Linked DNA regions of Neurospora crassa OR74A. The protein of the gene in region 1 purifies or fractionates together with the protein of each later gene. This does not show direct contact. Links are inferred from orthologs where the notes say so. Each region holds a gene or a part of one and is shown on either strand. Other genes may lie near its edges.

The links. The genes of interacting proteins can lie anywhere in the genome.
Region 2: the proteins of acp-1 (region 1) and NCU03008 purify together in Saccharomyces cerevisiae (affinity purification with mass spectrometry; 3 studies listed by BioGRID, with this or other methods). This does not show direct contact. The link is inferred for Neurospora crassa OR74A from reciprocal best matches to the Saccharomyces cerevisiae genes ACP1 and MZM1.

The regions. Positions count from the first base shown.
Region 1 is NC_026506.1:4,098,218-4,103,155, reverse strand, and holds acp-1 (acp-1), read right to left. Parts: upstream 3,132-4,938; 5' UTR 2,796-3,131; coding exon 2,586-2,795; intron 1,994-2,585; coding exon 1,976-1,993; intron 1,758-1,975; coding exon 1,677-1,757; intron 1,522-1,676; coding exon 1,426-1,521; 3' UTR 962-1,425; downstream 1-961. Other genes in the region: nuo21.3c (NADH-quinone oxidoreductase chain I), read right to left, coding at 3,719-3,795, 3,902-4,221, 4,516-4,778. UniProt on the Saccharomyces cerevisiae protein: Carrier of the growing fatty acid chain in fatty acid biosynthesis. May be involved in the synthesis of very-long-chain fatty acids.
Region 2 is NC_026501.1:8,458,832-8,461,813, forward strand, and holds NCU03008 (hypothetical protein), read left to right. Parts: upstream 1-1,166; 5' UTR 1,167-1,308; coding exon 1,309-1,366; intron 1,367-1,450; coding exon 1,451-1,624; intron 1,625-1,691; coding exon 1,692-1,795; 3' UTR 1,796-2,010; downstream 2,011-2,982. Other genes in the region: NCU03009 (zuotin), read right to left, coding at 1-563, 638-931; NCU03007 (pre-mRNA-splicing factor slt-11), read right to left, coding at 2,060-2,982. UniProt on the Saccharomyces cerevisiae protein: Assembly factor required for Rieske Fe-S protein RIP1 incorporation into the cytochrome b-c1 (CIII) complex.

The sequences.
Region 1 (4,938 bases):
CACGAAAGGGGAAGATCAAAAGCGCTTGAATTCATGCTTGGTCTTCAACTGTTGTAATTGTTTTCCACTTCCTTGCTCTCGGAGTCAAGGTAGTTGCATGACATGTATGTCAGCGAGGGGTGGTAGTGTAGGATTAATGGTGTATAGAGTAGCTGGTGGATTCCACTTTTCTTGCTTTAAGTAGTACTTTGGCTGTATACACAGAGCAGCGACAGTATTGTTATCTTGAATGATATCGTTTGTAGATCATCAACTTTGTTGTTACCTCACTGAGCCCCTCGCTCGGCGTCTTGTACGCACACACTATAAAGGCAGGTTAACCGAAGTGGATGGAGTCGATACTATTGAGATTCCCAGGAGTGAATGAACGAATCAATGCCTCCTAAACAAAGAGAGAGAAAAAAAGAATTAAAAAAAAAATTTGTAAAATATATAAAAAATAAAAGATAGAAAGAAAACAAGACGAAGAGGAAAATAAAGGAAAGAATATCGGTTGGTACGGAGCCCAGTTTTAGCTTGAGGTAGGTACCGAACAATTCTGGCTTTACGTGATCTTGAGGGCAAGTTTCTGAGGTGGTGGTGAATACATGCATACCTTAAGGTAGGTATCTTCATGCCGCGATCTAAATATTGAAGTGGGACATTTAAAGGACCAGACATACTCCGTCGTAGTATCAAGGATCTCTCGTCGGTCACATCTTCTTCACTTGGTCACGCAACAAAGTTGACATTTTCTCTTGAGAAATACCACGTATCTATTCAGTTTAAAGGTAGATACATCTAGATACCCAGTCAGATGGTTTCTCCTGGTTCGCCAACTTCGCTCGATTCAGGTACTGGTCTGTGTTTGTTGAACTGAGCAGTGATCAGACAGGAAGACATATAAACCCAGGCCTTCAAGTTGAGTGCGCTCCAGTCATGATTGTTCTCTTTACCTGAAAGGGGGGGGGGGGGGGTATGTAAGTAGTGTGTAGGTACGGATATAGGCGACAAACAAAACACAACGCAACAGCACAAGAGTTGACACCAACGCTATATTGAGCCTGCCACAATACCACTTTAGTGACCACCAAACATTGCAACGTGTCGCCGCGTTGACCAACCCAGACTAACCACTCTGACAATGATAACAACATCAAGACCAAGTCCGACCTGCCCACAATTCACATCTAGCCCGTACCCATCACGATGCTCCATTCCATTCGTCATCTCTTCTTTCATTCAGGTTCTAAGTTTTCGTATGGTACACAGATCGAATCGAATCCCAAACAATGACAAAGATATGTTTCGAATCGACCTAGTTAAGGATAAAGATAGAGGTGAAAAGGTAAGGTGGGTAGGTAGGGAGAAGAAGTATGCTTTATATTTGCGCAAGTAGTGGGGTTTCTAAAACGCTCGAACAAGGAACGAAACAGAGGACTTTTTTTAGTTGGCATCGGGCTGGCTGAGGATGTACTCGACGGCCTTGTCGACCGAGTGGATCTGGTCGGCGTCCTTGTCGGGGATCTCGATGGAGAACTCCTGTTGCGGGTAGGTTTGTTAGCATCGTGTTTGGCGTCCATGTGCTATGACTGTGTTTGGGTTGAAGGGTGATTGTGATAAGAGGCTGAGCTTGGGCCGAAAAGGGAATATGACAAGGGCCCGGAATAAAAAGAAAAAAAAAGGGAGCAACATACCTCCTCAATAGCCATAACAACCTCAACGGTGTCCAAGCTGTCAAGACCGAGGTCGTTGGCGAAGTGGGCGGTCTCGGTGATCTGTGATGCGCAAACTTGTGTCAGAATCTCTCATCCCTGTATCTTTGGTCTCGTTCCATTGCATCTATTCTTGCGGTTTGCCCGTCTCGTCTCTCCTTCCAGACTGTCAGGCCGGGAGCACCAGGGCACTGGGATTGACCCATCATGACCAAAAATCACATCATAGTTCGTCTCCGTGACGGTGAGGAGGAAATGTTGGTGTTTGCGTCTGTACTTACGTTCTTGGGGTCGTTGACCTGGAAAGTAGATGTTAGCTTGGGCCTGGAAAAAGGTTGCGAACACGGGACTGTTGTGGCTTCTGAAGAAGAGGCTGGAGGAGAGGGGAGATCCAGCCGAGGTAAGGAAGAAAGAAGAGCAAGAGACAAGAAGTTGACCAGCAAGATAGCAAGAGGAGGAGGGCAAAAAAGCGAGGGGAGAGCATCATCATCGGAGCAGAACCAGCCCAGCCGGCAGGGCAGACCCATTCGAAGAGCTCCCAAGTTCCCGATAAATCCGACCATGGCGCAGCGTGTGGAGCACGCAGTGCTCTTCATCGTATTCCATCTCGTTTTGTCGCGTCTGCGCAGCCTTGATATGCTCTTCGCATCTTTTTGGTCTTCCTCCGTTTGTGTTCTGTTGTCCGGCTGGTTTGCTTGCGATGATGATGCTCCCCCGCACGCTCTCTCCTCTTGTCTTCGCGTAGCGTATGTCCCTAGACCACTCGTATCCCTCTGCCTCTTCACACCTCTTTCTTATCTCCTTCCTTTCTTCTGCTCCTCCTCCTCATCCTCCTGCTCGAAGTTTGTATGCATGTCGTGTCGGGTAGGTCTCTTGTGATGTAAAACGCACCTTGTCAAATCCACTCAACACCTGCGCAATCCTGCTAAAGACCTCATCCTTCTTGAGATGACCACCGGCGCTGTAAAACCGGACAGCCTGGAAGGCAGCGACCTTGGGGACGGCCTGGACAAAAGCAGGACGGGCAACACCAGCGCGGACGGCGGAGGCGACGGCGGGACGGGCCACGCGGGCGGCAGTGAGGGCGGCGGTGCGGAACATTTTTTGTTTTGTTTGGGTGGGCTGTCGCGGAAAGTGTCAATTGCGCGGGTCGGTCGGGTGTTTGAGGGTCGGTGGTGGTGACAGGAAAGGCTGTGGCCGAAAATGAGTGTGACGCTACTACTCGGTGGTTCTCGGACGAGGTTGTTGCGGGTTTCTCTGGCTGGAAGCGGATTTCTGGGCGGTGGTTGGCTGGAATCAGCGATGATGATGATAAATTTCTCGCCTACTGCCTATGGTACGCCGGGGGCGCGGGAAGCGGGTGCGGGCAACTGCGGGCGGCGGCGGCCAACGAAGCTAACAAACCCGCCTCTGACTCTGGAGCTTCAGCGTGTGGAGGTACCTTGGTACGTACAACCTCGATGCTCCCCCGCAACTGCAGCCATGGAAGCTTCAGCTCGTTCTGCTACTCGTCAGCCGAGTCACGTGCAGGTCGCTCAGGTACCGTCTTGTACACTGCGGAGAAATGTGTCAAGCAGATACTCCACTAACACCCCACGGGCAGGATCACTCCACTCGTCTGTTAGACGGGTAATCCCGGTTGATGGATACGATGGGATGGAGTTCATCACGATACAGCTTGTATCTTACAGATGGTACCGTACACTAATTGTACATTCAGCCTTTCAAGCATCTTTAGGTTTCTTGATGCGTCCCTTTGGCCGCATATAGGATCTTCCCTGGCGAGATGACTTTCAAAAAGACAAGAAGTTGGATGAGGGACGCAATTCACAAATGTATCTACAGCCTTCTTTTGCCTGTCCGCCTGCCTGCCTGCCTGCCTTCTATAACACAATGGTGCGTCCTGTTGATACCGCAACCCGTCCGAAACTGCTGGTTCCGAAACTCTAGCATAGCAACAACGAAAAAAAGAATCTCTGTCTTCATTGTCCGTCCTGTTATCCGGTCTTCAAGCCACAACCCCTTTATCTGTAAGGTGAATCGGCGCGAATAGCAGCCGCAAGCTCAGGCTCCCACTTGTCTCCGTTAGAGAGTAGCTTTTCTGTATCTGTTGTCAGCACATGTCATATTTTCCTGGCCCCCCGACAGCAAGAACCTATCTCCAGCCAGCACCAGGTTATCACGGCATCCCCCAGAAAAGAACTCACCCTTGTTATACAACAACTCCTCCCTCGTCTCCGTTGCGTACTCCGCATTGGGACTCTCCACAATCGCATCCACGGGACAGCTCTCCTGGCAGAATCCGCAGTAAATGCACTTGGTCATGTCGATATCGTAGCGGGTCGTCCTTCTGCTTCCATCGGCACGCTCTTCAGCTTCGATGGTGATGGCCTGAGCAGGGCAGACGGCCTCGCAGAGCTTGCAGGCGATGCAGCGTTCTTCGCCCGACGGGTAACGACGAAGGGCGTGCTCGCCGCGGAAGCGGGGGGAGATGGGACCCTTTTCGAAGGGGTAATAGATTGTGTACCTGGAATAGAGGTGTCAGTAAATATGGTGGTATGGGTTTGCGCAGTCGTTAGGTAGCTGTTGATCGTCGTGGTGACGGAGGAGCGGCGGGAGGAGCAGCACAGTACGAGCGCGCTTAACCAAGCGACGAGCCGCAGAGCCGCAATCTCCATACTACTCCAGTGCGCGAGTCATGATACTTGTCATGTCGTGGATCCTGCCCACCTCCTCACCCCAGATCCTTCCAACTTCCACCACTCACCACCTCCTATCCTCCCAAGCCAGCAAACAGACAAAAGACAGACAAGATACTTACGGCGGCCTGAAAAACTGCTCCATAGCCACATACATGCCCCTAAACATCTCCGTCAAAAGAAAGTACCGTCCGTTCTTATCCAGCACGTGTTCCTCCTCTTGGTCCCACGTCTTGGGCGTCGGAATGCGGAAGCCCTTGGGCGGGGGACCGGCGGGGGTTGCGTAGGTGCGGATGGCCTGAGAGACGAAGGAGGGGGCGATGACTCGGCGGGTGGTGAGCTGGCGCGCGACGGCCGCAGCCGAAGAGGCAGTGGTGGTGAGCATGATGGGCGGGTTGCGGTGGATGGTGTTGATTAATTGTTGGTTTTGAGGTTGGCTGGCAGGGTAGGTGAGGCAAATGCGTTGCGCCAGGTGTGATATTAGAGGAGTGGCTAGGTAGGTAGTTGGTTGTCGTCGCAAGCCTGGTTTGATGATGTCGCAGGTC
Region 2 (2,982 bases), on another chromosome or scaffold:
GCCGAGCAGTCATCGAGCAGCTTGCGGAGACGAGCATTGTCCTCAGCCTTTCTCTTCTTGCGGGTGTTGAGGTTCTTGCGCTCGGTGTGGCGTCTCTGGTCGCGGGACTCGCTGTCATCGGGAACATCCTCATCGAGGTACTCGAACGACCTCCAGCTGTCGAAGTTGTAGAAGAAGTTGTAGAAGTTCTCGACCTCTTCGCGGGTAGAGTTCTCGTTGCCGAAGCTGGGGACGGGCTGGGTGTTGCTGAAACGGCCCTCAGCCTTGAAGACGTTGCCCCAGAGCTTGTAGAAGTTGCCCTTTTGGAGCTGCTTCTTGGTGGGGGGTTCGACATCGGCTTCCTCATCAACAGAATCGAACTGGCGGCGCTTGATGGGGTCGAGGAGGACCTCGGTGGCCTTCTGGATGCACTTGAAGAAGTTGTCGTCCTCGGTGCGGCCAGCGGCGGCCTTCTTATCGGGGTGGTGCTTGAGGACCTTCTTGCGGTGAGCGCGCTTGATCTGCTCCTCGGTGGCCCTCCAGCGGTACTTGGAAAGGCCGAGAACCTTGTAGTGATCTTGTTGCTGTATACGGGGCAATCAGGTTAGCTGTCAAGGTCTTGCGTGGCGTGATACACCATTACACGCTGAGCACTAACCTTCCAGTCCTTGGCGTCGCGAGAGAGCATCATGGGGTCCTCGGGCTCGCTGAGGTCGCTCTCATTGTCCTCCTCGACGTTCTTGGCACGCTCCTGGGCCTGAATACGGTCATCCTCGGAGAAGGTGCGCTTGTGGCGGGCGCGGCGGGCGTGGGCGAGGAAGTGAGGGCCGACGGGCTCGATGGTGCGCTGGGTGGCCTCGTTCTGGGCAATCTTGCCGATGGGCTTGAAGTCCTTCTCGGCGGTCCAGCCCTCAGGGAGGGTGGGGAGAGGAAGGGGAACCACAGTAGTCATTTTTGCGGCCGATGATGAGGATGGTGATGGTTGGGTTGGGAGACAGTGACAGGCGCAGGAACCAGAAGCTTGTATAGGCGGGGCCCCTCTGTTGTCTTTTTACCGACGGAATTCTGGAAATTTTTCGATGGCTAAGCTCCCCACATCTTGCTTATCGACCGCCAATCACAATCATCGCAACTCCAAGTCCACTCCGGCCGGCAAGCCTACCCGGTCCTGGGCGACATTTTTGGAGGTCGCATTGCCGTCACTGCAACTGTTTCCAGACAAGCCTTGAATCTTTTTGTTAGACCGGAAGTTGGCGATACAATACTATTTACTTTCTTTAGAACCTGCATTCCCTTGCATGACCCTCGTTTACCAGCAGTATTGTCAACATGTCTGCCCTTCAAGCCTACCGTCACCTCATGCGCGCCGCGAGAGTTGCCTTTGATGGTACGATGTTCCCCTGCAGTCTCCTTGGTGCATCCGCCGGCCCATGTAGCTCCCCGGACTGACCGGCATGTGCCACTATCTTAGGCGATAACCGCACCCTTACGGCCGCCTACGAGTCCATCCGCCGTGGTTTCCGCGAGAACCAGAACGTTCCCGCCAACGATCCTACGATTGCGCCTGCGATTGCGCATGCCGAGGAAGTTGCCAGCTTTTTGAGATCCAATGTCGTCCAGGGCCGTAAGGACGGCGAGACCTACAGTGAGCGAAGTCTAGGGGTGCTCGAGTCATATACAGAATATGGTTGCTGACTCCATGTTCGTTGCAGAGCTACGGATTCACCAGGACACCGAGCGCGGCGACAACGATACCATCAAGCTAGGCAACCAGACCATCAAGATCGGCGGCGAGCAGAAGTGCTGCTCGGCATAAGTGAATACAAAACCATGGTTGGATAACACAAGGATTTTGGAAGCTCAAGTTCGTGAGAACGTAATGGGACAACAGGACAGTGCCGTTGCCCGTGTATATGTATAAATCATCAATGATACCCCTCAATGTAGAAAACTAGTGGAAGAGACCATGCGATATCAGGAAATGCAACGTATCCGAGATACCCTGAGCCCAAACCCCAAATCATAATAGCCTCCGAACGCCTTGCAATACCATGATTAATAAGCACTTTTCTGACCCCGCTTAGTTGCCAGAGAGACTGGCGTACTGTACGTCTGCCGCACCGGGCGGCGCTGCGATAGTGAGGTTAGATGCGTCGTCTTTCTGCGCTCCTGATGCGCCACCCTGGGCATTTTGTCCCCCGATCGCCTTTTGGCCACCTGTCTTTTGACCACTGCCAAAGGCCGACCGACCATCTCGTAGCATCTCCGAACGCTGTTCCTTGTTCATTGTTCCCAACGCCTTGGGCACGCTCCATCTAACTCTCAAGGGGCATCCGGCAATGACAGCACGGCCTTTGCACTCCGCTGAAGCCTTCTCAGCAGCCTCCCGAGTCTCGTAGTTGACGAACGCGGCATGCGACATGTGCGACACCACCAGCGACTTGATCTTTCCGAACGCCTTGAAGAAGTCGCGAATCTTGAACTCAGGCAGATCATCTTCGATACCGGTGACGAAGAGGGACATTATGCTCTTGTCGGCCGGTGGCAGCCAGTCCTTGGGTCCCGGAGGAGGCGCCGGAGCTGCGTTGGGTCTTCGTCCGCCGCCGGGTCTGGCGCCAGCAGCTGCGGCCGCCCTGGAATCTCTCGTGCGAATCGGACCAACCCCACCAACACCGGCTCCCACAGCAGGATTGCCTCCCGTCGCCCGTCCTGCGCCACTCGATGATCCGTTAACGGGGTTACCCTCCTCGTCGACCTCCCTGCCCTTCCTGAAATAGGGCTTGCTTTGTGCCAGCCTCCTAAGCAGCTCTCTGGCTTTTTCGTCCGCCTTCTCGTACTCCTCTACACCAGCTCTTCCTTCTTCAATCGCGCGCTCGTTGTTTTGGGCAAAGTACTCGCGGTTGATTTCGCTCTGCGGTCCGGGGGCCACAAGTTCGAGGGCCTTGTCTCTGATGATGATGGGCAGACCGAACTGAAGATCGAGGATGCAGCATTGGCAGGCGT